4 linked regions of the Lepisosteus oculatus genome follow. The protein of the gene in region 1 interacts with the protein of each later gene in a biochemical or structural test. Links are inferred from orthologs where the notes say so. Each region holds a gene or a part of one and is shown on either strand. Other genes may lie near its edges. The genes, in order: ubiquitin-conjugating enzyme E2 R1, rnf7, uba1 and cul2.

Region 1 (7,562 bases):
GGGCCAACCCGACCCTCGAGGTGCTGAACACAGAGAGGTCAGAACAGACGACTGCATCCTGGGACATTCCTGCAGGTCAGCGATCCACAGCACCTGGGGAGCAGTGGATCCTGAAGGACAGACCCTCAGCCCTAAGTGCCCACTACTGGTGAGGGGTGGGGAAGCAAGAAGGGGGGTCCAACACTGCCCCCCAGGAGCCACGGTCAGAGCGCTCAGTCCGGGGGCAGGCTTGCTGTGGGCTCTGCAGGATGACTCGGTCTGTGCAGAGCCCCTCGAGTGCGGCTTCACCTCAGAGGTCAGCCCAGCCCACCCCCGAAAAGGCCAGAAAATAACCAACTGGCCAATCCCGACCTGCTCCACACTCCCACAACTCTCCGTGTAAAGAATGATCCTCCATGTCATTTCCACTTGTGTCCTGGGTTCATGTCTGCTTGTCATGTCCACAGCTGGTCTGATCCAGGCAGAGCTAGAGCAGCTCACTAACAGTTTCACTGGCCCTCCAGAACCGGCACTGGACAGCCCTGATCCAGTCCGGGGTGCTGAGCCCCCAGGCCTCAAACCACAGGCTGCTCCCCCTCCAGGCCTCCACAACAAACCGCCACAGACTTCCGCTGAATTCATTTCCTGGATTCAAGCCCTCGGCTGGAGATCCTGTTTCGGGGAGGTTCCTGAAACCTGTTTCGCTCAGGCAGGAAGAGAGCTGACAGGATTCCCGAAATCCTAGCCTCACCGCGCATTCCTGACATCCCAGCGGAATCTGTCACAGCTCTGCCAGCCTCCCCTCCTCGGCCCACGCAGGCCCAGCCTAGTCCCAGGCAGGGTTTGTGGGTCACTCCCTTGCGCCCCCATTTCATTCACTTAGCCAGCTCCCCGCCTGCAATCCCTGCCTGTCCACCACTTTCCTGGCGCGACTGACCAACTGACCACAAGCTCAGGCCAGTCTAGCACGGCCTGGCCAGCTCTCGCGGCCCATTGGCTACTCCAGCCGTGAGGGAAGTGATGTCACCCCTCCCCGAGGAGAGCAGGCGATGACATCACAGCCCGGGACCTGGTGTCAGCCAGCAGTTTCCTGTGACATCACACGGGGAAGAAGGGACATTTCCAGAGCCTGGGCTGTAGGGGGGCTCTCCTGAGATCTGTGGATTTTTTTTTATTACAGTTTTTGGTGTGAAGGTCTGGAACCTGCGCTCCAGTTTCTGATCAGGATTTCAGCAAACCTTTTCAAACAGCCCTGCGTTCCAATCAGGGCCTAGCTTGTGGATCTCAGAACAATACAGCATCTTCAGAGGGGTCTAAACCATCGTGCTCAGCATGTGGGGTTCCCCTACCGCCCCCCAACTCCGGGCACGAGCGAGCCAAGCAGGCCCAACTAGGACAAGTGACCCCCCCCCCACGCAGGGCTGTGCGCTCCCCCGGGCCCCGCATCCCCTCCTACACTGTTGCTGGGGAGAGAAAAGACGCGAATTCTCCCCAACAAAGGAGCAAATGGCTCCTGTCTGAGCAAAGAGCCGCCGGACCCGACCCGCAGAGGACAGGTGGGCAGGACGTGGCGCGGAGTCCAGCGAGAGTCCAGTAACACGCTCAGTCCTGATTATCGGCTCTGCAACTCGAAACACTGCAGAGCAGGAGCACAAACCAGACCCCCCCCGTTTTTATCAAGCACTGCACGTAGCAAAGTCATATCACGACGCGTTTCCCAGTGGTCAGCCCCCGGACACAGTGGTCAGCCGCGCATTAGGACAATTCAGAAACAAACAGAGGACACGCGGCAAACCCGAACCAAGCGAGAGATTCACACCTCCGCGGTTCACTAGGGGGGGGTTGGTGAGACCGGTCGGGTCAGCCCGTGTCCGAGCCACTGCCCCCCGCAGTCGGGTACCCCCGGGGGGGTCGGGACACCAGCGCAGCCCAGTCCGGAGCTCAAACGGAGCTAAAAATACCAGCGCAGCAGCGCGGAGGCTTCAACCCGCTGGGGAGGTTTAAATATTAGAACAAAGGAGCCCGGAGGCTCGGGCGGGGGGAGGGGCGGACGGGCCCGACCCGGCAGGGAGAGCTCCCGGAGACAGCCGGTTCCTTTGTCAAGCGCAGCTTCCAGGACAACTCGCGTAAAAACACTAATTAGGCAACAAAGGAATCGTTAATGAGCGCACCGCACTGCCGGGGAGCCCGAACCTGCCGAACAAGGGCCGGGCCGGGCCGACCGGAGAGCTCCCGGAGACACGCAGGACCGCGGCCGCCGCCGCCTCACCTTGAAGTAGCCCCCTTCGTAGTGGGTGTTCGGGGGCCCGAAGATCGCGACCTCCCAGTTGTAGAGGTCCGCCTCGTCCACCAGCGTGATGCGGAAGCCCTCGACGGGCTCCTCCTGCAGGCTCTTCAGCTCCAGCATCAGCGCCTTCTGCGAGCTCGCCACCGGGCCGTGCTGCGCCATGCCGCCGCGGCTGCAGCGCTCTGGCAACGGGGATCGGGAGCAGGCCGGCCTCTGGCCCCGGCAGCAGCACACCCTGCGCGTCTGCTCTCACTCCGGGCTCAGCACGGCCGCACAGGCTCGGAGACCCAACCCGCGTCCGAGGCGCCTGGCTCGGCTCGACTCGTCCGCGACTGGTCCGCCCGATCCGAGATTCACAGGCAGCGGGCTGAGCTCACAGAGCCCTCTTTTTCTCTTTTAGGGGAAACAAAAACTTAAAACAAAATAAACAGGCAAGCGGATGTCCGGCACAGTCTGAACCCCCTCCTCGCTCGGCTAGCGGCTGCGGTCTGCTGCTGAAGTCGCTTCGCGACAAAGGCAGCCCAGCAGTGCGGAAGCGCGATCTTCTGGGAACTGTAGTTCGATCGGAGGCTTGTGTGGATCCCAACACGATTCGCCGAATACCTGGTGCTCACCCCGTAGGCAGATGCCTATTACAAGTGCGTCGTCCTCTTAATTAGTGTCAGGCGCTTGTGTTATCCGGTGTATCGATCGCACGATCAAGCTTTCGTGATCCCGAGATAGCAATGAAGGACTACAATCCCCGCACACCCGCTCGACAGCCACACGTGAGTCGTGGGACAGCTGTTGTGACGTCATAGAGGTGGTTGCTGGGTTTGGCTTGTGGTGGCAGGAGGAAGTACGCTACGTCACCCCGAGCTTGTTTTTAACTCCCATTACCAGGAAAACAGAAAAACAAACTTTGCGCCGCGTATGAGTTTAGTTATCAGCTCTCAGATCCTCAACACCACCGATATATCATTCAGGGGGAAAGAAGTTTAAAAAATGTTGCCAACTACGTGTTAAAATGCCAATGAATTTAACTGTCGGTTATTATTTTTTATTGAGTTCATCCTGTGGTGACCACGTTAGCAGTGTGATAGCTTGTGTAGTGTGGAGCCCGATGAGAGCAATTCACATTTCATTCAATACAATTAAAAAGAATCATGGCCCCCTAATAACCCCCATCTCTGAACTGGCTTCATCACTCTGCTCTCCTCCCCACTGAGAGCTGGTGTGTGGGGAGCAGACTGGCGCATCATCCAGGTGGGTGTGGAGGGGATCCCCATTACCTGTAAAGAGCTGAGTGGAGTGTCCGGAACAGCGCTGTTACTGTAAGGATTATTATTCAGAACACTCAGCCCTCTGCTCTGCCCTGTTATGACCTGCGCAACTCATCTGTGGTCCTCCCTACCCCTCCTCCACTATTACACCACCGATCTGCCCTCCCTCTCTCCACTCCTACACCAGCAATCTGCCCTCCCCCCTCTCCACTCCTACACCAGCAATCTGCCCTCCCCCCTCTCCACTCCTACACCAGCAATCTGCCCTCCCCCTCTCCACTCCTCCACCAGTGAGCTGCCCCCTCTCCTCTCCCCTCCTCCACTTCTACACCCGTGATCTGCCCTCCCCCTCCCTCTTACTGGGGACACTGTCAGCTGTGCACTAGTTACCCTTCCTCACTGCACTTACTGTGATTGAGGCCCAGAAGACGGGGAGAGCAGGTGACCCGTGCGGCTCACCCCCTACCACAGGACTCCAGCTCAACAGAACACCATCCTGCCTCCAGAGCACTGAGTCAGCACTCCGACCGGTGTAGTGTGCTGAGTCACCACTGGCTCTCCAGGGCCCCCCCAACTCTACAGCCACCTCTACAGCCTCCTGCTCACTGGCAGACTTCGATGTTGGAACTAGCCTATAAAACTAGGGGAGTCACTTATCGGGGTAATAAACATTGCATATTGTTAAATACCTGTACATTCCTTTTTCAAGGATACTTCAGTTTTTATTGAATGCTCACTCATCCCAGCCAGTGGCATCAAAGGTCCAGGGTATTAATTGAAGTCACCAGGGCCGGACACATCTCCGATACTGTTTTCCAGCAGTGCTGCAATCGCGACAGGACAGTTTACAACACAGTGGAATGAGCTGGTGATGATCAGCACAGACTTACAGTCCTTATCCCTCATTCTGGGTTCACTGCAGCCCTGGAGTGTCGACCACGAGAGAGGGTGGCTGAGCTGTGAAAGTTCAGGTCGTCTCCACTCACTCTCCTCAAAGAGCCTGTCTTTCCCCAAGACCAGCGCCTGAGGGGGCCTTGGGCCACAAGTCGGATCAGAACACGTCACAACAGCAGGATGAGACAGCAGTGAGACACTCCCTTCTCCTGCAGGCAGAGTGATGGGAGCTGCTCACAGTGGTCAGGCCAGCAGTCGGGCTGCCTGGTTCCTGCTGAGACCTGCTGGGGCTCGGCCCAGTCTGCTCGGAGGACTTGTTTACTCCCCTGGATGTGGTCCAGTAACACCGCAGCGCTTCGTGCTGAAATCAGAGCTAAATTTAGGTTGTGGTTCTAGCTCCCTCGATGGAGGCCTACAGCACTGGCAGCCTGTGCTGTGACAAACTCCAGTGTCTGACTCATCGTCCCGGGACACAGGCACACAGAGGAGAGGACAGAGGAAGAACTGTCAGGACACAGGGAGGGAGGAGAGGACAGAGGAAGAACTGTCAAGACACAGGGAGAGAGGAGAGGACAGAGCCATTCTCAGGACACAGGGAGAGAAGAGAGGAGAGGACAGAGCTATTCTCAGGACACAGGGAGAGAAGAGAGGAGAGGACAGAGCTATTCTCAGGACACAGGGAGAGAAGAGAGGAGAGGACAGAGGAAGAACTGTCAAGACACAGAGAGAGAGGAGAGTACAGAGCCATTCTCAGGACACAGGGAGAGAGGAGAGGACAGAGGAAGAACTGTCTGGACCCAGGGAAAGAGGAGAGGAGAGGGCCGCTGTCAGGACACGGAGGGAGGAGAGGAGAGGACAGAGGAAGAACTGTCAGGACACAGGGAGAGAGGAGAGGACAGAGGAAGAACTGTCAGGACACAGGGAGAGAGGAGAGGACAGAGGAAGAACTGTCAGGACACAGGGAGAGAGGAGAGGACAGAGGAAGAACTGTCAGGACACAGGGAGAGAGGACAGAGCCGCTGTCAGGAGAGAGAGAATGAGCCCTGTGCCTACACTGAGACGATGGGAGGCTATCATGTGCCAATGCGGGGTGCCGACTGCTGGCTGCTGACTCAGGGTAAAAGGTCGCAGAGCTTCTCCCTGGATCACTGGCTAAACCACACTACAGCATGAACAGATGGCCTCTGTCTCTCCCAGAGCACCGAATCCTCACGCACCACCCCCCAGCCCCAGCCCTGCACAGGGACACAGAGCTGGCAGCTGGACAACAGGCTCAGTGGCGGTTCTGCTTAACGACTGAAAGAGAGCCCTGATTACAGCACAGCTCTGACATGCGACTCCACTGCTTAGCCAGAGTAGCAGAACTCTGGGCCGAAGACCTAGAGGTTACCAGGTTGCCAGGAGACCAATCACACCCAGTGACAGACACCCCCCAGTATCTCCTTCTGTGAGACGAGAGGCCTCCACCTCCTGGCTCAGGGCCCAGGACACACAGAGCACTCTTCCCGCAGGGAATATCTTCTTGTTCACAATGAAAACAACAACAACAACAACAACAACGTTTATAGACATCCTGCAAAAACTAAGACTTGAACAACAGATATTCCGCTTTTTGTTTTCTGCTGCTCCTGTTAAAATAAACGCCCCCTAGTGGAAACAGTGAAATAGTGTTAAAGCTCTAAACTGAGGACTTCAGATCCAGTGAGACAGTGATTCCGTTACACAGCAGACTAAAGACTAAAATCCCAGACATCACCAGTGTCCTTATCATACATCAGAGTTTATTGGTTCACCTTGACACAAAGACTACAGCAGCTCAGGTTTCTTAAGGGAATGTCGATAGGAAATTCTTTGTTTATCCTTTATATATTCATTTAAATCATTATATAATGTCACATCATACAGCCGATATAAATCAACAGAATAATCACACAGGATGTCCTGCTGGGAGATGCAGGCGGGAGAATATTTTAGAGGCTGAAGTCACGGCACTACAGGATAGCTACCAGAGAACTGACAGTAACGCAGGACGATGTGTTTCTTGGGGTTCAGCTCCAGCTGTACTGAACAGAAGGCTTGAAGAGCCAGACTGCACCCCCCCTCAGCCTGTTCTCACCTACAGGAATAGCAGCCCCCAGGCACTGCAGGCGGATCTGCCTTCCTGCCCACTGTACACGAACAGGAAAAGCAACCACTCTTGGAACTCCACTTCAAATTCAAAATAAATACACGGCTACAGACAGGAAATGAAGGGGCAGCCCCTGGGGTCGGCCCCGGGTGCGAGCCAGAGGACAGCTCTGTGTGCAGGCGTCTCTCTACATCTGCACCGCTGGTAGGGAGGATCTACAGGAAGGAGCCGTCCAGCACAGCTGCAGTGCAGATCAGGGCTCTGGGCTGGTAATCACCTCTGATTTAACTGACCAATTACCACCCAATTATCTAACTAATGGATCAATTACTGAATTAGACAATGTCCGTAGTTGCTTGCTGGTTCAGGGACTGTGAGGCCCAGGGCTGACCAGTGGTGATAGCTCAAGCCCTTCAGCCCAGATCACTGGTGCACCTGGACTGAGGCTGCGGTGCATCACTGGTCAGTGTGCGCGGTGACCAGCCTCTGCTCCAACACATGCACACTTCCTATCAGCCGGATCAATCGATTGGCGGAGGGGTCCTGTCAGCAGGGAGTACTGGCTGGATTACCGGAGGAGTAGCCTCCTCCCCATGCAGAGGCACAGCCCTGCAGGGCTCACAGACACGAGCCGCAGACATGACTGAGACAAGGAGGCATCGACTGACTCAGTCAAGTCATTAAGACATCAGGGCCAGAGGGAGACCTGGACAGGCTGTGGCTCCTGGCCAGCACACCAACGGCAGGAGGCCAGGAGTGGGGGAACGGAAAACAGACAGCGAGCTGACACCCGAATCGAACATGGGAACGAACAATAACAATCTGAAATCAAGACATTGGAGAGTCCCGCCTGGGGGCCGAGAGGGGGGCGTCAGGAATGCCTGCGAGAGTGTGGCCTTGGAGGGGAGACGGGAAGGAGAGGAGAGCAAGGAGAGGGGCAAGGCATTAGCATGGATTCCTTCAGTCTTCAGCGACTCCTCTCCTGGGGTGGGGGCGAGGCGTGGGGTCTTCA
Region 2 (7,266 bases), on another chromosome or scaffold:
AACAAGGGAGTAGTGAATCATCTGACCATGCAGCAGACTGAGATGATGTCCAGGGTAGAAGGTAAAAAAAAATAATCAGTAAATACACTTGCAATCAAACACTCAAGAATAACAGAGCAGTTAAAATTGTTAGGGAGAGACCCTTTCTCCCTTCTGGCTTATCCTTCTTATAATGAAAGATTCAAATAAACACTGAATAAACCAAAAAAAAAAAACACACAACAACCATTAAGTTTAGAAATATGCATTCCTGGACAAAACTGCTATCATGTCAAGAGGACTGGCACTTCTACCGTCATTTTTTAAAAAGGAAAGTACAATTTAACACCAGCTTCTGCTTTGATTGACCTACAGTATATACCGTCAAATCATTCCCAGGCCTGTCTTTTAAAATCCTGTTCCCAACCTCAGCAAAGCATTCCCAGATATCAGGCCCTTTAAATCCCTAAAATCCTCCCCCATTGGGTTTTCCCATCCTTCGGTTTCACACAAACAGATGATACCTATTTTCTTTTGATTGTTTTATTACATCACCAAGTAAAACAGGCTCCTGTACAGTCACGAAACATGCGAAGAGAACTGCTGGAAGGCCTTTTCCTGGAGGGTCGTCTATTCATACTTGCTCCCAGGAGGTCTGCAGGAGCTGTCCGCTTCCCGGCAAATGAACGGATTAGTCCCAGGCCGACGGATGGTAGCCGCCCCACACGGCGAGAGGTAAAGGCAAGCCCATCTTGGCAAGTCCAAATTCAGGCCTGTACGAGGAGGGTGAGCCTGCACCTGATGCACAGGACGCGTTCACTTGCCAATTCTCTGAACCACCCAGTCCTGCTGGCAGAGTGGGCACCGGTTGTTCTGTTTCACCCACAGGGACATGCAGCAGTTGTGGAAGGAGTGGTTGCACTCTCCCCAGACCACTGAAAAGGAAAAGGATGAGACAGGCTGGCTTTAAAAATCCACCAAGCAACAGATCACATTCTCTGAGAGCTCATGAACTGGACAGGGTTCAAGAGGTCCGAGTAAACTGCAGCTGCCCTTTACATGCATAGGAATGCTGTGCAGTGAGGTCATTAAAAGGGGTCTGGATTACCATAAGAACGTCAAGGCACCTATTGATAATTTATCAGATCGTTATTCTGAAGTCGAGAGATGACTGTTATCTCTCGACTTCTTCAAGCAAGATAATTCTGGACACAAAAAATGCGGTAGTATCAGGAATATGAAGCAGACAAACTACTCCCATGATTTTAGTATGTAAAATAACTTTGCACTTATCACGATTAAAGTAAAACGCCAGCACCGTTTTCTTGATACTGCGTTATTTGGTTATTCAAGTAATGTTCTGCAGATTTAAATTATTGTTAACCATATGTTCTTAAAGCAAAGGTGGGCCGTAACCAGTAGCACTGAACGGCTAAGGCAATTAATTCTTAGTCCAGCTTTCATGCTTCACCAGATAACACTATCAAATCACAGGGGACTCACCGACACAATCTTCTTGTTTATTTTCCGCCTGGCATCGAAGGCAAGCATCTAAACAAGCAGGAAAAACACATGCACTGCCAGATTGAAATTGACGTAAAAATCTGAAATGTACTTCCAATACGTTAACATACCACAGGCAAAAAAAAGCCGCAACTTAACACGTATTTTTACATCATTTTTCGTTACAAAAATCGTAAAATGTTAACTCAGACAGCTAGTTATAATTATATACTTACATACACTATAATAGAGATAACTGTAATGCTGACTATTCACTCGAAACAACGTTTTCTACTTTATTACTTAAACAACAACATTGTCGGATTTTGCTACGAAGCTACAATATTCTCTTGTTGATAAGTGCACAAGGCCTACTGCGACGCGACCTGCATGTTACTGCTTTTATCAACCAAATCTTAAAAAAAAAACTCCCGCATCGCACCACTTCCCCCTCTTACATTAAAAAGAGGTGCATGGCTGCTGCTGCCGACCAACAGGATCCACAACTTCCTTTCTGGTGAAAAGACACGATAAAGCCGTCCTCTTTTTGTTTCACTTACCCATAACCTGAACTCTACAAATGGCACAGGTATCGCACTCTACGTCCCAGCTCCACATTGCCACGGCATTCCACTTCTTTAAGGAAAACATTTTGTCTCCTCCAGATTTAGAGCCAGATCCGCCGCTGTGAGAAGGAATCAAAACCGGCTCGTCTCCGTCATCCATCTCCACCATAGCAATGGTACAAGGGAAAACAAAATGGACGGACCAGTGCGGCTGCACAGCACAATAAGCCAATGTACTACTAAGGGCCAACCGCAAGATGGGGCTAAAGCTCCAACGTAATCTTAAATCGCTACTGGTGTTAATATAATTTAATATTAAATATAATTTTTAACACATTGATACCTGTTTTGGGTAGAATTCAATCATACTGTCCTAATATTAAGCATAATAACATAATATTCATACTGTAGAAAGGCTAGTATGTTTTATGATTTAACAATTGTAATACCACATGCAAACTGTGGTAAACACACACATCACACACATAGTAACGCAGAAAAATTAAGAAAATCCAAAATTTCTAAAAATAAAAACTTCATACATGGTAACAGAAGCACAGGATAAATGAGTCCAGTCAAGGAGAAGCCCAAAGTAGACACTGTACCCTGTAATGTAAAACACTCTGCTCCCCCAGGCTACTCAGGAGTGAGACTGGGCATGAGATAAATACCTGGCTCAAAGAGAAGTAGTCAATCAAAGAGAGCTCACTGGTGTTGCATTTTCAACTCAATACCTCTCAGCACAGCAGATGCTTTAATCCACAATCAGAGCTCTGCGTTTTAGAGTGACCTACCTTTTTTCAAAGAAATGTGATAATGAGTCCCATGTGAAACATTTTTAAAGCGTTAAGAGTATAAAGACAGATACTTTTCATTTTTTAAGCCTGACATTTTTTGCAAGAAAGATTTTATTTTATTTCTTTATTTCATATCGCCGTTTCAGCTGTTTCTGTCCATGCTTTTGTAATTTGAAAATAATTTTCAGTTACCATCATTCAGGTGAATTAAGGACATAATTAAAACAAGTAGGCAACATTAAAGCTTCTTATGAATAATCTTGTTTTTTTTCTGTTGATCAGTTAAAATTGGTTCATTCACTAGTTGATCCCTTGTACACAGAGCTTTAATGACATATAACACTGAAAAAATTAAATATAAGAAAACAAAAATAAGAAAGATAAGGTTTGAAGTTAAAAGTGAAATTTATTTTTTGTACATTTTGTGTTTGCATGAAGCAGTGACCCAACAGAAACTAAAGTATTCTTAGTTCTTTTCTGTTTTTCTTCTACTTTGGAGGGCTAAGTGAATTCTTCTATAGTGACAAACAGCAAACAGTCAACCACAGCCAGTCAGATACAGTTTCATCCTGAGATCCTACTCTCTAACTTTGTTACTTTTGAACACATTCCTTGTATGTAATCTTCTATTTATTGGGTTATTCCTGTAGCACAGCATGGTAACCTTCAAACGGAATAGAAAAAGGAGCTGAGAATGTTAGCATGGGCATAAAATAACGCCAATCAAGAAATAAAACAACACTGTTGTGGTTCCGATATCAGATACTCAGCTGTTTGAGGACCAACAGTGCTCATAGTATAGATAACAGCATGAAGAATGCGTACATTCTTGCAGGACCATGATAAAAAAAGAACAATTCTTTTGTCTCATAGTAACAGCTGGGAAAACTAATAGCAGCTATTGTATGAGAATGCGATCTTTAGCTATAAACAGACAGAAAAAAAAATGAGAGCTCCCAACTTTCAGAGTCCTGTAGCCCCTTCATCACTGGTTTGAATCTGGGCTCTGTCATTAGTCAACAGCAGCCACTGTTTCCTGAGCAGAGCAACACAAAACAATTCAAGAAAAAAGAACACAATGCATCAACAAAAAATATTGTTTATTTCTACCAATTAAGGTACAGTATACCCTTACAAACAGAAATACAAGGCAGTTTGATAGTATTAATAGTATGGGTATACCTGCTTTTCAATATAGCATTTAATAATGTTTTTAACTTCACAAGAATGTAACAGGCTTTAGTAATTCATAGTTAATTGATTCCAGGATCTCATCCAGCCATTTCTTGAAACAAGTCAGTATCTGCTTCAGCAACATGACTGGGTAACTTCTTGAAGACTCCCATCTTTGTATAACAATTCTGTCCCCTTTTCTCTGTTTTAAGTGAACTTCTCTACAGTTTCAGCTGTCCAAGACTAAATATAGCCATTATTTTTAGTTGTTAGAATAGGACATTCCTTTAAACCTAGGAATGTATCTAGTTTGTAATTTTTGGCCTGATTTCAAATCAGCATTATCAAAATACTACACAATATTCTAAATTAGTTCTTACTAGTCCATTGTACAATTTTAACATCCTTTGATTTAAATGCTACACTTTAAATGCCAATGTAGCTCAACATTAATTCTGATTGATTGATTATTGCTTCTCCTCATTGTCTAGAGGATGATAGTAATTTGTCAATAGGTAGCTCCTACATGTTCCCTGTCCTCTGTCTTATTTTTTTAGTTTGAATTTCTGGTATGTGCATTTACCACTCAGCTTTATCACTATTTGTCTCCATTAAATGCCACCTGACAAGTGATTACTGAGTATTCAATTTGTCAAACTATTTTTTGACATCATCTGCACATTGGACTAGTTCACTGACCATTCCAGAATCTAGATCATTCAAATCACTTTTCCTAATAACCCTCTTTGCTTCATTATTCAGATATTGTCAGCTGTCTTTAAACATTTATTGATTATCTCTGCAATAAATGTTTAAAAATAGAAGGAAGATGTTCAATTTCTACTGTAAGATAATTCATTGTGTATGTGGGGCACTACAGAAATGCAAGATTAGTAATTTTACTGATTGAAACTGAAAGAAAATAATAAAATATCTCTGTAGGTTAGTCTCTTAAACAAAGACATCAGTACAAGTGGGTAGGAGGCTGTAGATGCAGTGAGTGTTGAATACAGATCTTTAAAGCACAGACATGAATTTGTGGTTCCAGTTCTTGGGCCCATTTGGTAATGAAGAAGAGACCTGATGCTGTGGAACTTAGAAGCAAACCGAGAACAAAAGGTGGTCATTTGATTGGAATGAATAGAAGACCAGTAGAAAAGTTACAAATCAGAGGAGGCTATTCTGCTCATCTAGCTCAATTGGTAGTTAGTAGTCAATTGATCTGAGTGTTTCACAGTGTTTCTCCAAAGAAGCCAGGGTATTGGGGCTTGTTCCATACTCTCATTCCATTTGGGTGAAGAAATGCTTCCTGTTGCCAGTTTTAATTGCTCTTCCATGTAGTTTGCACTTGTGCCTTCTAATTCTTATTTCAGTATAAATTCTGAAGAATTCAGCAGGATTGCCTTAGATGATTGTGAATAATTTTATAATTTACTCTCAAAACCATCCATGTTGAAGACTAAAAAGATTCAGTGCCTTCAGCCTGTCAGTTTAGGGCATTCCCTTAAGCTCCAGAACCACAAAGAACAAACAGCAAAAATGTAGCTTCAGCAGGCTACTCTTGTAAAGCTGGTAACTTTAGCTGAAGTACCTCAAACATTACTCCTTAGAAGTGTTATCTTTCATATCATGAAACAATGTAGTAAATATGAAAGCTGGCCTAATTCACAGTTTTAACACAGCGTGAATGTGGGTTTAAGTGAAAAAAGAAAGCTGCCTCAAAATAAATGTATCCCCTGCTGGCCTTTCAACATCAATGTTGTGAGTTGTACTTCCATAAAATTGTTTTAAAAAATATTAAAACTCATAACATTGTAATCTATTTAATTCTATAAAACATCATTTATGAAAAGCCACAGGGGGAATGTTATTTGACTATCTGAAAGAAAATGTGCACATTTTTGTTTCATTGCTCAGCATTTGAGCCATATGTGGAGAAGGGAAGTGATACTAGCTGAGTTCCAGCAGGTCTGAAATTCAATTAGCAGTCTGACTCAAAAGCTTAAATAATCAATGACAGTGCAAAAGCAAGTGATGTAGTAAGTCACGTTACCCAGGGCCGGATTTTGGTGTTTGTAGGCCCTATGTACTTCCACTCCAAAATGTACAAAAAGAGGGGTAAACACCAATGGAATTACATTGATTGACATGATGCACTTTAAACTATTCTAATGCTAAACCATGTGATTGATGGAGCAAGTCGAGCAACCATCACTTCGATAGTTTCTATCTAGTTTCTAGAACAGCCGCTAGATAGCTAGGAGCACCTACAGTTGATCGCAAGCATGTTGTGCCTACAGTGTCTAATGGGAAATCTGGCACTGACTTTACCCCATGATGGCAAATATTGATCCACTGCCTTGCTTTGCTCTCCTCTGTTTTTGAAAAGTGAAGCATGATATGTGAATTAAAGAAAGATTGCCACTCCTCATATGAACATCTTGCACATTTGTCTATTTATCAGTCCTGATATAGAAGCACAGATAGATCTGATTGATAAAAACAGGAGCAATAGTACTGTAGTGAACCAGCTTGTTCAAAATGAAGGTGGACAGTGGAAAAGCATTCACTATAGGCAATCAGAGACTGACATGCTAGTGGAGTGTTTCAATTATTTAATTTTCTATCCATCTGTATTTGTTGCAATTGTATTTCTTCAATTACCTTTACTTCCCCATGAGGGATCAAGCATTGTACTGTAAGTGAATTGTACTTTATTAGGACTTCCTTGAAATGTCTATTTCTTCAATGAGTTGATCAATTATGTTATTTCCACAAAACTCATTAACAATATCAAATGTCTACTATCATAGCTATACAGTATATAAAGTTGTAGTGCTACACCATGTTTAATTTATTTAGACTGATATGACAGACAGTTGATATTCTTTACAGCAGAGATTATCCAGTCCTGGATCAAGAAAGATCAAATCTAGCAGGTGATGGAGGTCACCATTAAATAGTCTATTTCTTAATTCTTGGGAAACTTTCATCCTAATGAATACATTTTTACTGGATGAAAAACAAAGCCTTAAGAAGTCCCTCCTAATTTGTTACTTATGGTTCACTGGGTTTAAATCAATCACAGATGTTTTCTGGTGGTCCTGCTGAAGTCTTGGTGACAGCAGATCAGTCCTGAATGCCCCAGTGGCTTCAGGTTGTGATAGTCCCAGGGCACGGATCCATGTTATCATTGCGTGTACGTTGGGATCTAACGATCCATATGTCTCTCATAAAAGGAAGCATCA
Region 3 (7,720 bases), on another chromosome or scaffold:
TGCATTGTGTATCAGTATCTCTTCCTTTTGGTCTTGAAAGACAGAGAGAGCCCTGGAGCATTTTTGAAAACTCAGAGATGTTGACTGGAGAATCTGTAGACAGGGGGTACATCTGCACACACACAGACACACGAACACTCACAGACAGAGAGACAGACACACGAGCAATCACACACAGACACACGGACACTCACACACAAAGACAGTCACACGAACACTCACAGTCACACAGACACATGAAAACACACACACAGATACACAAACACTCACAGACACAACAGACAAACAAACACACAAACACTCACACGCAGATATTCTTGCACATGCATTCAAAGCTGGGGAGCCACACAGGAATCTCAAGCACATGTTCCTTCTCTTTGAAGACCAATGAGGTTCATCGCATCCATTATGTCCGCAGAGTGGCCAGTCACCCGAGCAGGGCATCGGCGCCACGGTCCAGCCCAGCCCAGCCTCCCGCAGTCTGGAGCTCCACGCTGATTACCTGCTTGATCACTGGAGTGACTCTGGGCCAATGGAGGCTGAGCTGCTCTCTGACCATGAGCCGTGTCTCTACGGCCACAGTCAGAGGTCCCATACTAACAGTGCCGGGAGCTGCCAGTTCAGCACGTTGTCACTCCAGCCAGCAGTGGGGGCACTGAGAGAAAAGTGTTCCCCTGATCAGACAGTCTCTTTGGCCCCTCCGCTCTGCAGAGAGCAGCTGGGCCATGCCTGCCCAGAGGAGGGTGTGGGCGGGTGGCCGGTGTCACCTGGCGCAGGCTGGTGTCCTGGCCAGATGTGGTCACAGCTGCACTCCTCTGCAGGGCAGGAGAAGGTCTGGACGAATCCTCTTATGGTGGAGCAGCTTCAGCTTTGCTGTTCAGGTGGTTTCTTTGCAGCTTCCTTGTCTCTGCCCATCGAAGTCCAACACTGTATGACATTGTGCCTTAACGTCATTTAGAAAAGTAGGAGATCACCCTTTAACCACAACATGCTCAGTCTTAGTAATGTTCACCTACTAACACGTGTCGGATTTGTCAGGACCTGTCTTCCTGCTCCATCTGGTTAATGAATTGCAATGCTGGCCAGTACTTTAGGACCAGACTACTGTGTCCGACCAGTACGTGTCTGTATAGACGTCCGGGTCAACTGGACCTCCTGCTCAGAACTGGCCGGCACTGACAGCCTGAAATCCAGCTGAGCTCTGCAGGGGCCCTGGCCACAAAGCGAGCAATTGTGTCCTCCTGGACATGCTCGTTTCAAGCAATTAATCTGGGGATTGAGCAGCTGAAATGTATTCTGAGGAGGTCGTTAAGACAATGGCTGTGGCTTTTAAGCCAGGCTGTTCTGGGGCCTCAGCTGGCTGTCCCCAGGCGGCGAGGTGGTCCTGTAACCTGCCTGTTGTCCCCACAGAAGGCCATCCGAGTGACCACCTTCATGCAGCGCCTGCGCGCCCCCGAGGCCGGCAGCGGGGGCGAGGGGGGGGCGCGCCTGGCCGTCACCCCCCGCACGTCCATGAGTGTTTCCCACAAGGTGACGGTGGAGAGCCGGCCGGAGCAGGCCGGGATTCCCAGCAGCCTGTCGGTGGGGGTCTCCCCGACCTCCACCACGGACCCCCTTCCTGCAGGCGATCTTGGGCTGCAGCCAGAGGGGGGGGCGGCCAGCGACAGCGCGGGGACGACGGCGGCCAGCCTGGGGCCGGACAAGCCCAGAGCGCCCCCCGACAAGCCCCCCCCTTCGCCCCGCGTCGAGACCAGGAGGGTCCCAGACCGCGGCACCAAGGTGATCGTACTGGAGCACCCGGCCAGCCCCGGGGAGACGAGGTCGGGGTGCCCCCCGGACACCCCCAACAGGCGCAAGATGGCAGCTGTCCTGCACCGCTCTGCGGACGACACCGCCTCCCCGGCGGACCCGGAGACGAGGGCCGGGGGGCCGGCAGCGCGCCGGGGGGCCGCGGGGGGAGGGGCCGGGGACACGCCCGGGCTCCGGCCGGAGAAGGGGGACCGGGGCGCCGGCGGGGGTGGGAGGAGAGCCGGCGCGGCGGAGAGCTGGTGCCAGACACAGCTGCCCGAGGCCGTGGCGGAGAGGAGGGGCGCAAGGGAGCCCCAGGACGGGAGCCCCGGACGCAGGGACCCCGGCGCGGCCAGGGGCTCCCCGGGCGCGGCGCACCGCAAGACCGTGCCCGTCCAGGGGCAGCGCGAGGCCGCCGGCGACTGGCACATGGACAGCGTGATCGAGCAGATCGAGAAGCAGATGGCCGCAGTGCTGGAGAAGATCGAGGGCGACATGCCTTCCCTGCTGGAGCAAATCAGCGACCGGCCCTCCCCAGCGCGCGCCCCCCTGGCCCCCGCCACGCGCCCCAGCCTGCCCCCCTTCCCCCACCTCACCATCCCGCCCTGCACAGCCCCCCCGCCCCCCCCGCCGGAGCCGGAGCCAGGAGAGCAGCCGGAGGGTGAGGCCGGACCCGGCCAGTCGCAGAGAGGCTTGTGATCCAGCACACAGGGAAGCACTCTGGGAAATGCCACTCATGGCGATATACGGATACACTATTTTTCTTCTCTGTCTCCTGTTTTGTGTTTGCCCTTCTGAAGGTGTTCCTGCCCCTCCCTGTGCCTCTCCCGCCCGGCGGCCCAGCATGCCCCTCTGCGCTCCGCTGTGTTCTCTCCCACCCCAGCGGCACACCTGTTCTCTGACAATTTTTTGCATCTGTCAGCAGTTCTTTCAATAAAACTCTCAAGCAAAGCGCTGTGACAGTCTTCCCTTCCTGTCTGTGTGCGTGTCTGCGTCGCTGTCCGCCGGCCAGATGAATCCCGCTGGCCAGCGCAGGTCAGTCTCCGGGCTGGAGCTGCTCACCTCTGACCCCACGCACCCCGGTTTCTGTCCCAGTGGACACCCAGCTCCAGGCTCAGGCTCTGCCCCAGCCTGTCCCATTTCCCTGTGTGGACAGAGGAGAGACCGGGGGCCTGTCAGTCAGCTGAAAGGGCGGGTCCCTCAGCACTCAGGCAGGTGGGACTCGGGGTGCCAGCAGTGACTAGGCCGACAGCAGTCTCGTGAAGGACAGGTGAGGAAGCACCTCTTGTGCAGAGTACTGACGCCACAGAAGTCCGATCGCACACACTCGCTGATCCCGATACAGTAAAGGCAGAGGAAAACACACGCTGGATTATTTACAGTAACGCCTGGCTATGCACTTTCCTGCACAGCCAGTGTGGGACACTCCGTTCAGACTAAAGAGACTCAGTTCCTGTAGCCTGTCAGTGTGGGACACTCAGCAGACTAAAGAAACTCAGTCCCTCCAGCCTCTCAGTGTGGGACAATCCCTTCAGACTAAAGAGACTCAGTCCCTCCAGCCTGTCAGTGTGGGACAGTCCCTTCAGACTAAAGAGACTCAGTCCCTCCAGCCTGTCAGAGTAGGACACTTACTTCAGACTAAAGAGACTCTGTTCCTGCAGCCTCTCAGCAGCCATATCACCCTGCAGCTCAGAACTGGGAGCCTACTGGAGCCCAGCAGGTGTGAGCCTGGTCAGTATCTGGATGGGAGATCTCCTGGGAAAAACTAAGGTTGCTGCTGGAAGAGGTGTTAGTGGGGCCAGCAGGGGGCGCTCACCCTGTGGTCAGTGTGGGCCCTAATGCTCCACTATAGTCATGGGGACACTATACTGTAAAAAGGCCATCTCTGAACTGGCTTCACCACTCTGCTCTGCTCATCACCGATAGCTGGTGTGTGGGGAACGTACTGGTGCACTCTGGCTGCTGTCACATCATCCAGGTGGGGGTGGAGGGGATCCCCATTACCTGTAAAGCGCTTTGAGTTGAGTGTCCAGAGATGTGCTATGTAAGTGTGATGAAGCCAGTTCAGAAATGGGGATTATTAGAAGGCCATGATTGGTGAGGGCCAATGGGAAATTAGTCCAGGACACCAGGGTAACACCCCTACTCTTTTTGAGAAACACTTGGGATTTTTAATGACCACAGAGAGTTAGGACCTCAGTTTTATGTCTTATCTGAAGAATGGCACCTTTTTATAGTATAGTGTCCCCATCACTATACTGGGGCATTAGGACCCACTCAGACCGCAGGGTGAGCGCCCCCTGCTGGCCCCACTAACACATCTTCCAGCAGCAGGAGTTTGTCCCAGGAGGTCTCCCATCCAGGTACTGACCTGCTGGGCTCCAGTGGGCTCCCAGGTGTGAGTTGCTGGGTGACATAGCTGCACACTCATGCAACTAATTTGCGCTATTAGCCAAGGTGCGCGGGAGCTCGTGTCTGAGGCGGTTCGCGTGTGCTGGCCGGCAGGACCGCGTGCCTCCGCCTGGACCCTCCACGATGACATTCTGAAACCGTTACCTCACATTTCAAATCTGCGCTTCAACATGACCGTCGGCACCAACAGACCGGCTCGCCACCGGGCAGCAGAGCCGGACTACAACTCCCAGCAGCCTGCGCGGCAGCGCTCGGACCGGGAGGACCCAAGCCATGCGAACAGAAGGGGGGGCGAGAGTCCTAGTTGTGTAAATAATTTTAGAGCTCCCACCAGTATTATGGAGAAATACACAGAAAGTCACTAAACTTTAAGACTGTGTTAAAGTCTTTGATTCCGTACAATGTGAGTCTTGTACGCCGTCGTGCGTAAATGTATTTTTCTCTGTTTCTCCCCCATCTCAAGATGGTGGCGCGGCCCCCCGTCGGAGCCCCTCTGTCCGCACATGTTGCTTTATTCTCGCTGCGCTGCTGGGAACCGGCGAGCCGCCTGTCTCTTCCCGTGTGAGAAGCCACCGAGCTCCCGCCTTCGCCGTCAGCTCCCACGGGGGGTTCTCTCTGTCTGCTCGCCCTTTCGATTTTAAACACCGAGGAGCAGGTCTTAGCAAGATCGGATGTGGTGAGTGCGACGCCTGCTCGCGTTGGACCCCGGGCCGGGGGCCGGGAAGACAAAGCTGAACCGTGCTGGCAGGTTTGGGGGCGAGGGGGGATGGGGAGCGCGGGGAGTGAGGGCGAAGGGCTGAGGGTGTTATTTATGCACTGGGTGTTCCTGCCCGACCCGGTGCTGCCTGCTGCCGGAGCCGAGGATGGAGCTCAAGTTGCTGCCCAAGTTTCGGAGCTGCTCGCCACCCCGGCGCCCGGCCACCTGTGCGGCGGGCAGTGTCCGGGCCGAGGGGGCCGGGGCAGGGGCCGGGGAGGGAGCCGGCGTCCCAGCCGGGGCCGGGCGAGCCCCAGGCCGCAGGGAGAGGGGTCCGAGCCGGGGGGAGGCGCCCGGCTGGGCCTTTCATTGTTGTGTAGCGGTTCCCGGTCTGCACGGCGGATCTGAGCGCCAGCCCGCAGACTTGCAGCCCACGTCTGCTTTGTTTGTGCTGCCCGAGGTCGCGGTCCCTGCTCCACGGGTGCAGTGTTTTCCCGGGTGGCTGGGCTCCCCACGAGTGGACGTGGGCTGTCATGACGTGCCTCTCGCTACGGGTTCTCGTGCAGGAGGGGCGACGCAGCTCCCTGCTCAAGTGCGTCAACATACTCTTTTCCCTTCATCCTCTCTAAACACACTGTACCTCAGCTCTAACCACTAGCCCACACTGCCTCCCTCTCTCTCCCCCAGTGCCTCAGCTCTAACCACTAGCCCACACTGCCTCCCTCTCTCTCTCTCAGTGCCTCAGCTCTAACCACTAGCCCACACTGCCTCCCTCTCTCTCTCTCTCTCCCAGTGCCTCAGCTCTAACCACTAGCCCACACTGCCTCTCTCCCTCCCAGTGCTTCGGCTCTAACCACTAGCCCACACTGCCTCCCTCTCTCTCTCCCAGTGCCTCGGCTCTAACCACTAGCCCACACTGCCTCCCTCTCTCTCCCCCAGTGCCTCGGCTCTAACCACTAGCCCACACTGCCTCCCTCTGTCTCTCTTTCCCCCAGTGCCTCAGCTCTAACCACTAGCCCACACTGCCTCCCTCTCTCTGTCCCAGTGCCTCGGCTCTAACCACTAGCCCACACTGCCTCCCTCTCTCTGTCCCAGTGCCTCAGCTCTAACCACTAGCCCACACTGCCTCCCTCTCTCTCTCTCCCAGTGCCTCAGCTCTAACCACTAGCCCACACTGCCTCCCTCTCTCTCTCTCCCAGTGCCTCAGCTCTAACCACTAGCACACACTGCCTCTCTCTCTCTCTGTCCCAGTCCCTCAGCTCTAACCACTAGCCCACACTGCCTCTCTCTCTCTCTGTCCCAGTCCCTCAGCTCTAACCACTAGCCCACACTGCCTCCCTCTCTCTCTCTCCCAGTGCCTCAGCTCTAACCACTAGCCCACACTGCCTCCCTCTCTCTCTCTCCCAGTGCCTCAGCTCTAGCCACTAGCTCACACTGCCTCCCTCTCTCTCTCCCAATCCCTCAGCTCTATCCACTAGCCCACACTGCCTCCCTCCCCAAGGCCTCAGCCCTCACCAGTGGGACGTGTTCAGAGTGGGTTGGACAGAGCTTTTGGACATCAGCCTGTGGCCGTGATTGTGGGCAGCAAGACAGAACCTGATCAGTGAATTTGATTGTTTGTGTACGGCGAGTGACATGCAGCTCAGTCCCTGGTGTAGTTGAATAGCAGTGCAGTTAGGAGGACCAGGTCTGTCAGGGTTACAGTCGCTGGTCCTGGTGTTTGTGTTCTGTGGGCTCTGCTGCTGGCTGTCTTGACCTGCTGATGAACAGAAACAGCACGCCGAGTCCAGGAGAGGGGCAGTGGTATGAGAGCAGCCCGGTCCGGGGCTCGCTGGCTCCACCGAGCCGGTTCTACATGACTGTTTCAGGGCCCCAGGGGGAGCGAGATGATGATGATGATGATGTTGGGGTTGAGGAAGGGTGTCACCCTGTGATTGATGACTGTGTTGTTGATGACCATATCTGTGGTTACTCAGTGGAGTTCTGGGTCACACTGTTTCTGGCTAAAGACTGTGGACGGTATATTTACACCGACACGCTTGGGACATCTTGCCAAACTGCTGGAGAGTGCCTTCTCCTACGGTAATGGACTTGGAACCATTTATTAATGAGATGGGCCAGGTGGGCCTGGTCGCTTACTGAGTGAAGAGACGGCCCTGAGGATCCCAGCGGAGCTCCTGGCTGGGCTTCATCCCAACTGGCAACATAAGGCATCCAGCAGCCTGACAACTCCCCTGCGGGCTCTGGGGGGTGAGTCTCCAGGGGTGTCCAGTCCAGGTCCTGAGGGGCCGGTCAGTGTGCCTGCTCCAGGGGTGTCCAGTCCTGGTCCTGGGGGGCCGGTCAGTGTGTCTGCAGGTCCCTTTAAAGAGCAGCTGGGAGAATCTGTCACATTGGTCCAGTAGGTCTAGTAACCAGCTGGCTTGGAATGAGAACCGACCCCACCAGGACCGGACTGGCCACACTGCTGAGACACTGACCCCACCAGGACCGGACTGGCCACACTGCTGACACACTGACCCCACCAGGACCGGACTGGCCACACTGCTGACACACTGACCCCACCAGGACCGGACTGGCCACACTGCTGAGACACTGACCCCACCAGGACCGGACTGGCCACACTGCTGAGACACTGACCCCACCAGGACCGGACTGGCCACACTGCTGACACTGACCCCACCAGGACCGGACTGGCCACACTGCTGACACTGACCCCACCAGGACCGGACTGGCCACACTGCTGAGACACTGACCCCACCAGGACCGGACTGGCCACACTGCTGACACACTGACCCCACCAGGACCGGACTGGCCACACTGCTGACA
Region 4 (7,556 bases), on another chromosome or scaffold:
TTGCTGGGTTTTTTTTAATGAAACGAATAAAACCCAGTTCACAAACAAATGTTTAAGTTAAAATAGGCTAAGAGTTTTTGACTACAGAAACTAGCTTGTGGCTGTGTTTTGAAAGTGTCTCTTTCTCCCTTTACCGAGCTTTTGGAAATGAAGCAAGTTCCAAAGAATGTATTTTTGTGACAATGCGTTTGATATGCTGAATTGAATATTTAAATAACTGATCATCTGTACAGAGGAAAAGATAAATCTGCATTGTGCAAGCTGCTACAAATAAATAGTTATACCTTCTCTGATTTTAGTTAGCCACATCATTTTATGCCTACAAGCGATAGTGAGTATAATATTGTTTGCTTAATTGTACCTTTGATCAAAGGAATTGTACAGATAAAGATAAACATGTTCATACTCTGTATTGCTGAATTGCACACTGCATGGTCATTTATGAACAAAACAACACTTTTTGTAGTGTTGGTATGTGTGGTACATACAGATACAGTATGTGGTGGTTGTTCACTGCGATATGTGATATTTGTATTCGCCTGTTAAGAACATGTGCAGGTTGCATCAGATGCATTAAAAAGATACTATATTAACAGTGATTTACCAGGCCTTATTTCTATTACTTTCTGTTACTAACCAATTTATATGTGATCACTGAACTTGGGAGTATATAATTAAGTACCAAAAGTAAACAGAACACTTTTGCCTTACCCTAAATTACCTGGAAAATTCAATTTTAGGTTGTGTACAAAATCTTAAACGGTGTAACACTGTATGTACTTCCTGCTGCTGGAATTGGTGGTAGTAGGGCCAGTAGGGGGCGCTTACTCTGTGGTCTGTGTGGGTCCTAGCCCTAGTACAGTGACAGGGACACTTTACTGTAAAAAGGTGCTGTCCTTCGGATGAGATGTAAAACGAAAGTCCTAACTCTCCGTGGTCATTAAAAATCCCAGGCTGTTTCTCGAAAAGAATAGGATTGTTACCCCGGCATCCTGGTCAAATTTCACATTGGCCTTTACCAATCATGGCCTCCTAATAATCCCCATCTTTAAACTGGCTTCATCACTCTGCTCTACTCCCTACTGATGGCTGACGTGGTGTGAGCTTCCTGGCGCACTATGGCTGCTGTTGCATCATCCGGGTCGGGCTGCACCTTGGTGGTGGTGGAGGGTAGTGCCCATTACCTGTAAAGCGCTTTGAGTGGAGTGTCCAGAAAAGCACTTTATAAGTGTAAGCAATTATTAGTAGTAGCAATGGTACTTTTGACCACTTCTAAATTAGGATGAAAACAGCACTAAAAACTATTTTCTAGCCACTAGATGTCACTAGAATTTAATATTCCAAGTTAATTTATTATTTTACAAGCATACGTATAGCTTTTATGTACACTTTCATAATAAGGAACAATAGGTTTATTCCATGCTGAAAAGAGAAGCAAGAAAACACAGCGTTTTGGCTGTGGAGCCTTCTTCGCACACCTGACTTCCTTTGCAGCCTACGCATGCTGACGCAGCAACCCACCTGAACTAATTTCATAATATATATGTACAGATAATATCTATTGCAGACATATTATATATACAAAGTTTCTATAAAGAAAAATGAGCAATTAAAGATATTAAAATAATAGAGGTTTACCTGAGGTTAAACAAATGTCTTGGGTTCAGTGATATAAATAGTAACAGAAATCATCATTGACCCACGCTCAGTTGGACATACTGAATATGTAGTATAATGCATTCAGGTGCCACAGCTATAAAGCTAAGAAGCAAACAAGCAGCAGTCCAGACTGGGCAAGAAGGTTAAATAAGATCCCAAGGCATGGTTTAAAATCAAATTTGGCTGAAAGTTGTAGAAAACAACACTTCCATTTCTGGGCTTTACATAAATGTATATGTTCAAGTTCAGTTGAACTTGAATTACTTTAATATCTTAATATTTAGTATGTACAGTATGTGCCACCCACTGCATTTCCTTCCTTAGGTGATATATTTAATTTCTGTGTTAATAAAGCTGTCCAAGCCGAAAAATTGTGTAACCTCACCAAAAGAAATGTCTGTGGACAACCACTGTATTTCATTTCATACATCAGCTGCAACAGCCAGGTTATGGCAAAGACATTATCAACATGGTGTAAACATCATATTTAATTATTTAATAGCTGTATGATGTTTGAATAAATGTTGGAGTAAGGAGTGTCAAAGTAATTTACACAACTACGAAACAGAAACTCAATGAAACACCTAATAATCAAAGGATAAGATTACAAATGAGTGCTTCAGTCCCACTATCTCTCCTGCTTAATTTTCATGTTTTACTGGTGGTTCTTTTCTGGGTTGATGGTTAATATCATTCTGAGTTTGAAGGACTGGTTTTCCTGAATTCCTCATTTCATTACTAAACCTTCCTCCGCCGTGCCTGTGTTAGACATGTTTCTGAGGACAGGTGTTAGCACAAGTTACCATATTCAGCATTCTACACTTTCTCAAAATATATCCTCCATATACACTGATGGACTTTCTCGTTGCTTCATCGCCCCGCATCCTTTCTTATGGATGACACAATTGAGTGCGACTGAAAACTTAAACCCACTTCATCAATCGCTTTAGGTCCTTGCAACTTATTTTGTACTAGGGGTTACCTGATACGTCTAGCTTTCATTATTAGCTGGAATACTGGTCTTGTTTTATCGCATGATTTAAATATATAACGCGGTTCAGAAGTCGTCACCCTGCATAAAACACAAGAACTACATTGTGTTTTCTGTGTGCGGGAGGGAAAGACGGGGCAAAACACAACCGGCGCCAAAAAGATGAATGTGAAATAAACTAAAAATGCCCGTTTTCGTGCTACCGGATTCACAACACTGTGTGCATGTAAAGCGATGCATGAACCAGCCGGGCAAACGCCTACAGCAGAGGGAACCCCAGGACGTCATTTCTCCGGGCAACCGCGGCGTCCCTCGGAACTCGAGCCGCAGGAGAGCGCGCGCCGAGGCTGTTGCTGTTTTCTTTCGCCGCGCTTGTTTTCCCGTCCGGCCCGATTTGAATCGCCCGCCTCGCGCGCAGAACGCAGCCCGAGGCTGTCCGCAGCGACGCGGCCAGAAACGCCGGAGCTCGCCGCCTCCTTGTAACCCTCTTTTTAGCACCGCATTTGCAGGCCGACTTCTGTACTTTGTCCCTCCCACCCGCTCGTCTGCTGTAATCCCGCCCCTGAGTGGGTTGATTTTTTTTTTCCCCCCGTAGATCTTCGTGTTTTGTCAGAGGCGCCGAGGACCTCGCCGACATTTTACACAGCTCAGCAGCATCAGAGCTGACGTGGCGGCTACGTGTGCAGCGGCTCAGGCCATCCACTCCTACCGTAATCAGTGACGAGTCCCACTACGTAAAAAACATCGGTAAGTTATTACAGGCACTGCAAACAAGTGGAGGCTTTGAAGGGGGGGAAAGAAAGGAAAGACAGGGAGAAGTTGCTTGCTGACGACTTGGTCGTGGGTACTCTGGTGACAGCAGCACAGCCTCCTTAGCAAAGACACCGCTTCTCGCCTTTAGCTCTGGTTTCCGATACACAACTATGCTGGTTGCATTAAAAAAAGTAGATGTCCTTAATGATCTCAGAGTTTAGTGCAAATAATAACGTTAGCAGCCGACGGACGTAATTGGAGCGATGAAAGGTTCAACGTCATTTACAAGTTGTAACTTTTGTTTTTTTTTAAGTGTAAAGTTGCCAAGTTAATTATTACAGGAGTAACTCGGGACACTGTGCGTGGTTAATTAGATGACTAGTTTTAATTGTGAAGTAACTGAATTAAAATTTATGAGGGATCGTTGTGCATTTCGGATATTGTACAAGGGAACAATTCCTTTCGCAGCGAAAGGGTGGAAATGTTATCGGTCACGCCTAGACAGCTTTATCAAAACTTCTCTGTATTTAGTGCAATGTTTCTTTTCACTTCAGTGTTTCGACAGCGGGGTGTACTGGAAAGCGGCGTTCTAAGAAATGACCTAGTCTGCGCGAATTGGCTTCCAGGTTTTAATTAAAATGAATCTGCTTAGTAGTTCTTTAACAGTTCTCGTTTTTAGTAACTTGCAGCACTTTCTTTGCGCAATTGACTTTTCTTTTTTTTTGGCACTTCTATGTGACTGCGTGGTTCCTTCACATCGGATATCTGGCCACAGCTAAAACCCTGCTAGGTCTTGAATAAAAAGAAACGTGACGTGACGGGGATCTCATGTGTCTTAGTCAATAAGCTCAGGATCGCTAGACAGCAGTGCTCGCTGCGTGTGGGGGGAGAGAGGAGGGGGACTTGAACCGAAAATAGTAATTAGAAATACAGTTCCGAGGCTCTGTGCCGTCAATCAGATGGATATCCAAATATCTTCCGACTTATTGTTATAAAACCCAATTAAAAATAACTTCAAGTGTACTGAAATGCCGCCGAAGACGTTTATAGTTTCTGTGTGGCAGTGTATGTGCGAATGCAGAGTTTATTTAATGTTTTAACTTCGCATATAACGTTTAGATATGTGCATTCAATTATTCATTATTTCATTTATATTTTTCGCGCAACGTCACGATTTTAGGTTTTCATTGCAAATGATTGACTTATAGGTATCTTTGGCGGGAAAGATTTTTTAAAAAAAAATCGAAACCGATTAAGTCAGTTTTTCGGGTTACAATGCGACCTGATAAGTTAAAAAAAATCCGCTGTTGGATGTGTTATTTTAATTTAAATATTTTCATTTAAAATGGCGTCCGTTGCTGAGCAGGAAGGTTCTAGAAATGGCGCAGAACCTGTCTCCTCCCTTCTGTCCAAAAACCGACAACGCCCTGCTCACAGCATTGTTTTTTTCTAATGGTTGTTTTTCTACTGCCTGTGGAGGAGGGTAGCAAAACCGCTTGCGTTAAACATGAACGTAATTCAGTTATGATTTAGCAATAATTGTATTAAGCTAAACACACTGAATAATAGGTTTAACCGTGAGTTTTTTTTGACCAACTGAACCCAATTACCCGAGTTCAGTTCAATTATCTAATTATTTATATGCCATTATATATTATAGCGAGGTTTTGCTTTTTATAAAGTGGTGTTTGCAACACTCGGTTTTGCTAAGATTGCTAAAATAAGCATGAATTAAACGTGAATTGTATTAAAATATTTTTTAATAATTAACTGTGATTAATTACTGTGATTGGCTTGTGTGGTGAGGATGGTCGTTTAAAATGTACAAGAAACCAAGCATATTTGTTTAAGAAAACTCAGTTTCCTCAAACATGGTATTATATTTTGACTGCTTGTGTCAGCCCAGGAGTGTAACTGCAATGTAGCTAAATCCCTTCAGGCATGGAAATTTGTTAAGGCAACAGTACATCTTTTCAGGTTTCTAGTCTCTAGTCTGGTCTGAACCAGTAGAATATTTTAAAAGTTTAACCTAGTGAGTTTCTGCTTGGAAACACCCAAAACATTTTAGAGAAGTTGCAATTTATACAGTCTGAACTGTGAGAAACAGATGTTTTAGAAATATACATTCATAATAGTATAGGTTAGGAATTTAGGAAGAAAGTTATAACAAATTATCTTCAGTGTACTGTATGAAGTGTGCTGTTGGTAACTTCAAGTATGTTACACTGGTGGAAAAAATAATATTGGTCTGCAATTTCTGAAATAGAAAAAAAAACATTTTTAAAACAATTTGATGCGCACAAAAGGTATAACCAAAGGACAACATTTTGATGTGTTTTGTATTTAAAGCATAGGTAAGATGTTATAAAGATAAACTCTCTCACACAGACCTCAAAAGTATTTGACCTTTAGCTCTCACTAACCTCCAAATTTGATACCTAAAGTATTCTGCCTTGCTGTTATATTTCCGCTGCCACTGCAACCATGTGTGAGTAAAAGGAGCAATATCCTTTGCTTTGTCACTTATTGGAATGCCTAGCTACAGTGTATTGTCTAACCTTTTGCATGTTACTGTTAATACAGAGCCATGAAATATAAACTACATTTTACAGTCTGCTTCTTAGTTGTGTATTGTTAGTCTTGTGTAGTTGTCAACAAATTTACATATTTTCTTCTGGCCTTAAAATAAAAATTATTCATTAAAAATGGTTGTTTTCAGTTCTTTTCATCATTGTTCATTCAAAATATATATTTTGAAGAAGATACGGTATAATGTTCTCTCAATGTACATAAGGTGTCTTTGGTGGAGGTTTCCAATATGTCACAAATTCTTAAAGAACTGTCCAGGAATCTTCTAATATTTCAGTCTCCTTTTTAGTATTTTTAATGTTTATTTTTATTAAAACCTCGAAACCTAGTTCTTTATAAGTCCCTGCTTTAAATCATATACATTCTTCAAATCTGAATATAAAACATTTATTGGTCACAATGACCTGATAAAACGACAGAAAAGGTAAATATGGAGAGTTGGGTAAGAAAATGAAGAGGGGAGCCGCAAGTCTGTAGTAATAGAAATAATTAGGGCTGTATGTGAAGGATTGCAACACCTTTTATTTTGAACTTAAAAGGACTGAGGCTTTGAGTGTTTGAAAATGGTTTACATAATTTGTCCGTTTTGAAAACATTTGAAAGTTCCAATTCTGTACACCTCTATCCTTATTAATGGAATAAGACATCCTTTAAAATGCGTAGAATTTAATGATCATGTTTTAAATTCTAAATGGAATTATAATGCAAGGTGGTGTATCCCCATTTGTGAGGGGTACACATATGTGTGCTGTTTTACAAAGTCAAACTTTCTTGCAGTTAGTCATTTATTTTCTATTTAACATGCATCATATGATTAAATATACAGCAACAGCAAAAAAATTGGTTTCAGATACAGTAAATGTTCTTGGCCAAGAAATTGAGTGCTTGCATGTCGTTAAAATCTTAGTGATTAGTTTTACAGAATTATGTTTGAGCAATGTCTCTTATGAGGCCATTGTATCGCCCTCCTGTATTTTCTGAGTTAATATAACATTGATGCTTTAATAACGTGAGAATTTAATAGGGACAGGGTATTATGAAAGGACAACATATGAGTCTAGAAATGGGGCTTATTCCAAAACTGAAAGATAGGGGTAAAAAAGTATGATTAAAACATTTGATTATATGACTAATATACATTTTAATTGATTGTGCTGGCCGTATACAGTATATGCCAACTTGGAGCACTTGTCATTAAAACTTTATAGGCAGAAACAATATTTTTCTAAGCACTATGTAAGTTGTTGAGTGAATTATTATTATTAGGCTTCTAACACTGTAATTGTATCTTTTTTTTTCTAACTTTCACTTCTTTGATGGTTGAATGCTCTGATGTTTATTATCTCCAGACAAAGTATTTAATATTTTTTTCTATAATGAAATGTTGGGCAGATCCATCAAAATGCTATGACCAATGTATTATGTAAACATTTCAAAATCAAAATGGCAGCTTTAAAATCTATTAGAATTTATCCCAAATTCAAGCACCAATACAATGGGGAAAGTCTAATTCAAAATGGTTACTTGAGCATTTCAGAGCTTGATCAGGATTGGAATGAGGGAC

What was found.
Region 2: the proteins of ubiquitin-conjugating enzyme E2 R1 (region 1) and rnf7 form a complex in vitro, tested with the Homo sapiens proteins (5 studies listed by BioGRID). The link is inferred for Lepisosteus oculatus from reciprocal best matches to the Homo sapiens genes CDC34 and RNF7.
Region 3: of the proteins of ubiquitin-conjugating enzyme E2 R1 (region 1) and uba1, one has a biochemical effect on the other in vitro, tested with the Homo sapiens proteins (7 studies listed by BioGRID, with this or other methods). The link is inferred for Lepisosteus oculatus from reciprocal best matches to the Homo sapiens genes CDC34 and UBA1.
Region 4: the proteins of ubiquitin-conjugating enzyme E2 R1 (region 1) and cul2 form a complex in vitro, tested with the Homo sapiens proteins (2 studies listed by BioGRID). The link is inferred for Lepisosteus oculatus from reciprocal best matches to the Homo sapiens genes CDC34 and CUL2.

Annotation. Positions count from the first base shown.
Region 1 is NC_090724.1:9,517,442-9,525,003, forward strand, and holds the start of ubiquitin-conjugating enzyme E2 R1, read right to left. Parts: upstream 3,007-7,562; 5' UTR 2,429-3,006; coding exon 2,249-2,428; intron 1-2,248. Other genes in the region: ap3d1 (AP-3 complex subunit delta-1), read right to left, coding at 7,560-7,562. UniProt on the Homo sapiens protein: E2 ubiquitin-conjugating enzyme that accepts ubiquitin from an E1 ubiquitin-activating protein, and catalyzes its covalent attachment to other proteins by an E3 ubiquitin-protein ligase complex. In vitro catalyzes 'Lys-48'-linked polyubiquitination.
Region 2 is NC_090708.1:15,894,724-15,901,989, forward strand, and holds rnf7 (RING-box protein 2), read right to left. Parts: upstream 2,255-7,266; 5' UTR 2,218-2,254; coding exon 2,043-2,217; intron 1,531-2,042; coding exon 1,483-1,530; intron 915-1,482; coding exon 796-914; 3' UTR 507-795; downstream 1-506. UniProt on the Homo sapiens protein: Catalytic component of multiple cullin-5-RING E3 ubiquitin-protein ligase complexes (ECS complexes), which mediate the ubiquitination and subsequent proteasomal degradation of target proteins.
Region 3 is NC_090697.1:77,869,930-77,877,649, forward strand, and holds the start of uba1 (ubiquitin-like modifier-activating enzyme 1), read left to right. Parts: upstream 1-4,706; 5' UTR 4,707-4,876; intron 4,877-7,720. Other genes in the region: camkvl (caM kinase-like vesicle-associated, like), read left to right, coding at 1,411-2,487. UniProt on the Homo sapiens protein: Catalyzes the first step in ubiquitin conjugation to mark cellular proteins for degradation through the ubiquitin-proteasome system.
Region 4 is NC_090701.1:38,381,454-38,389,009, reverse strand, and holds the start of cul2 (cullin-2), read right to left. Parts: upstream 3,005-7,556; 5' UTR 2,914-3,004; intron 1-2,913.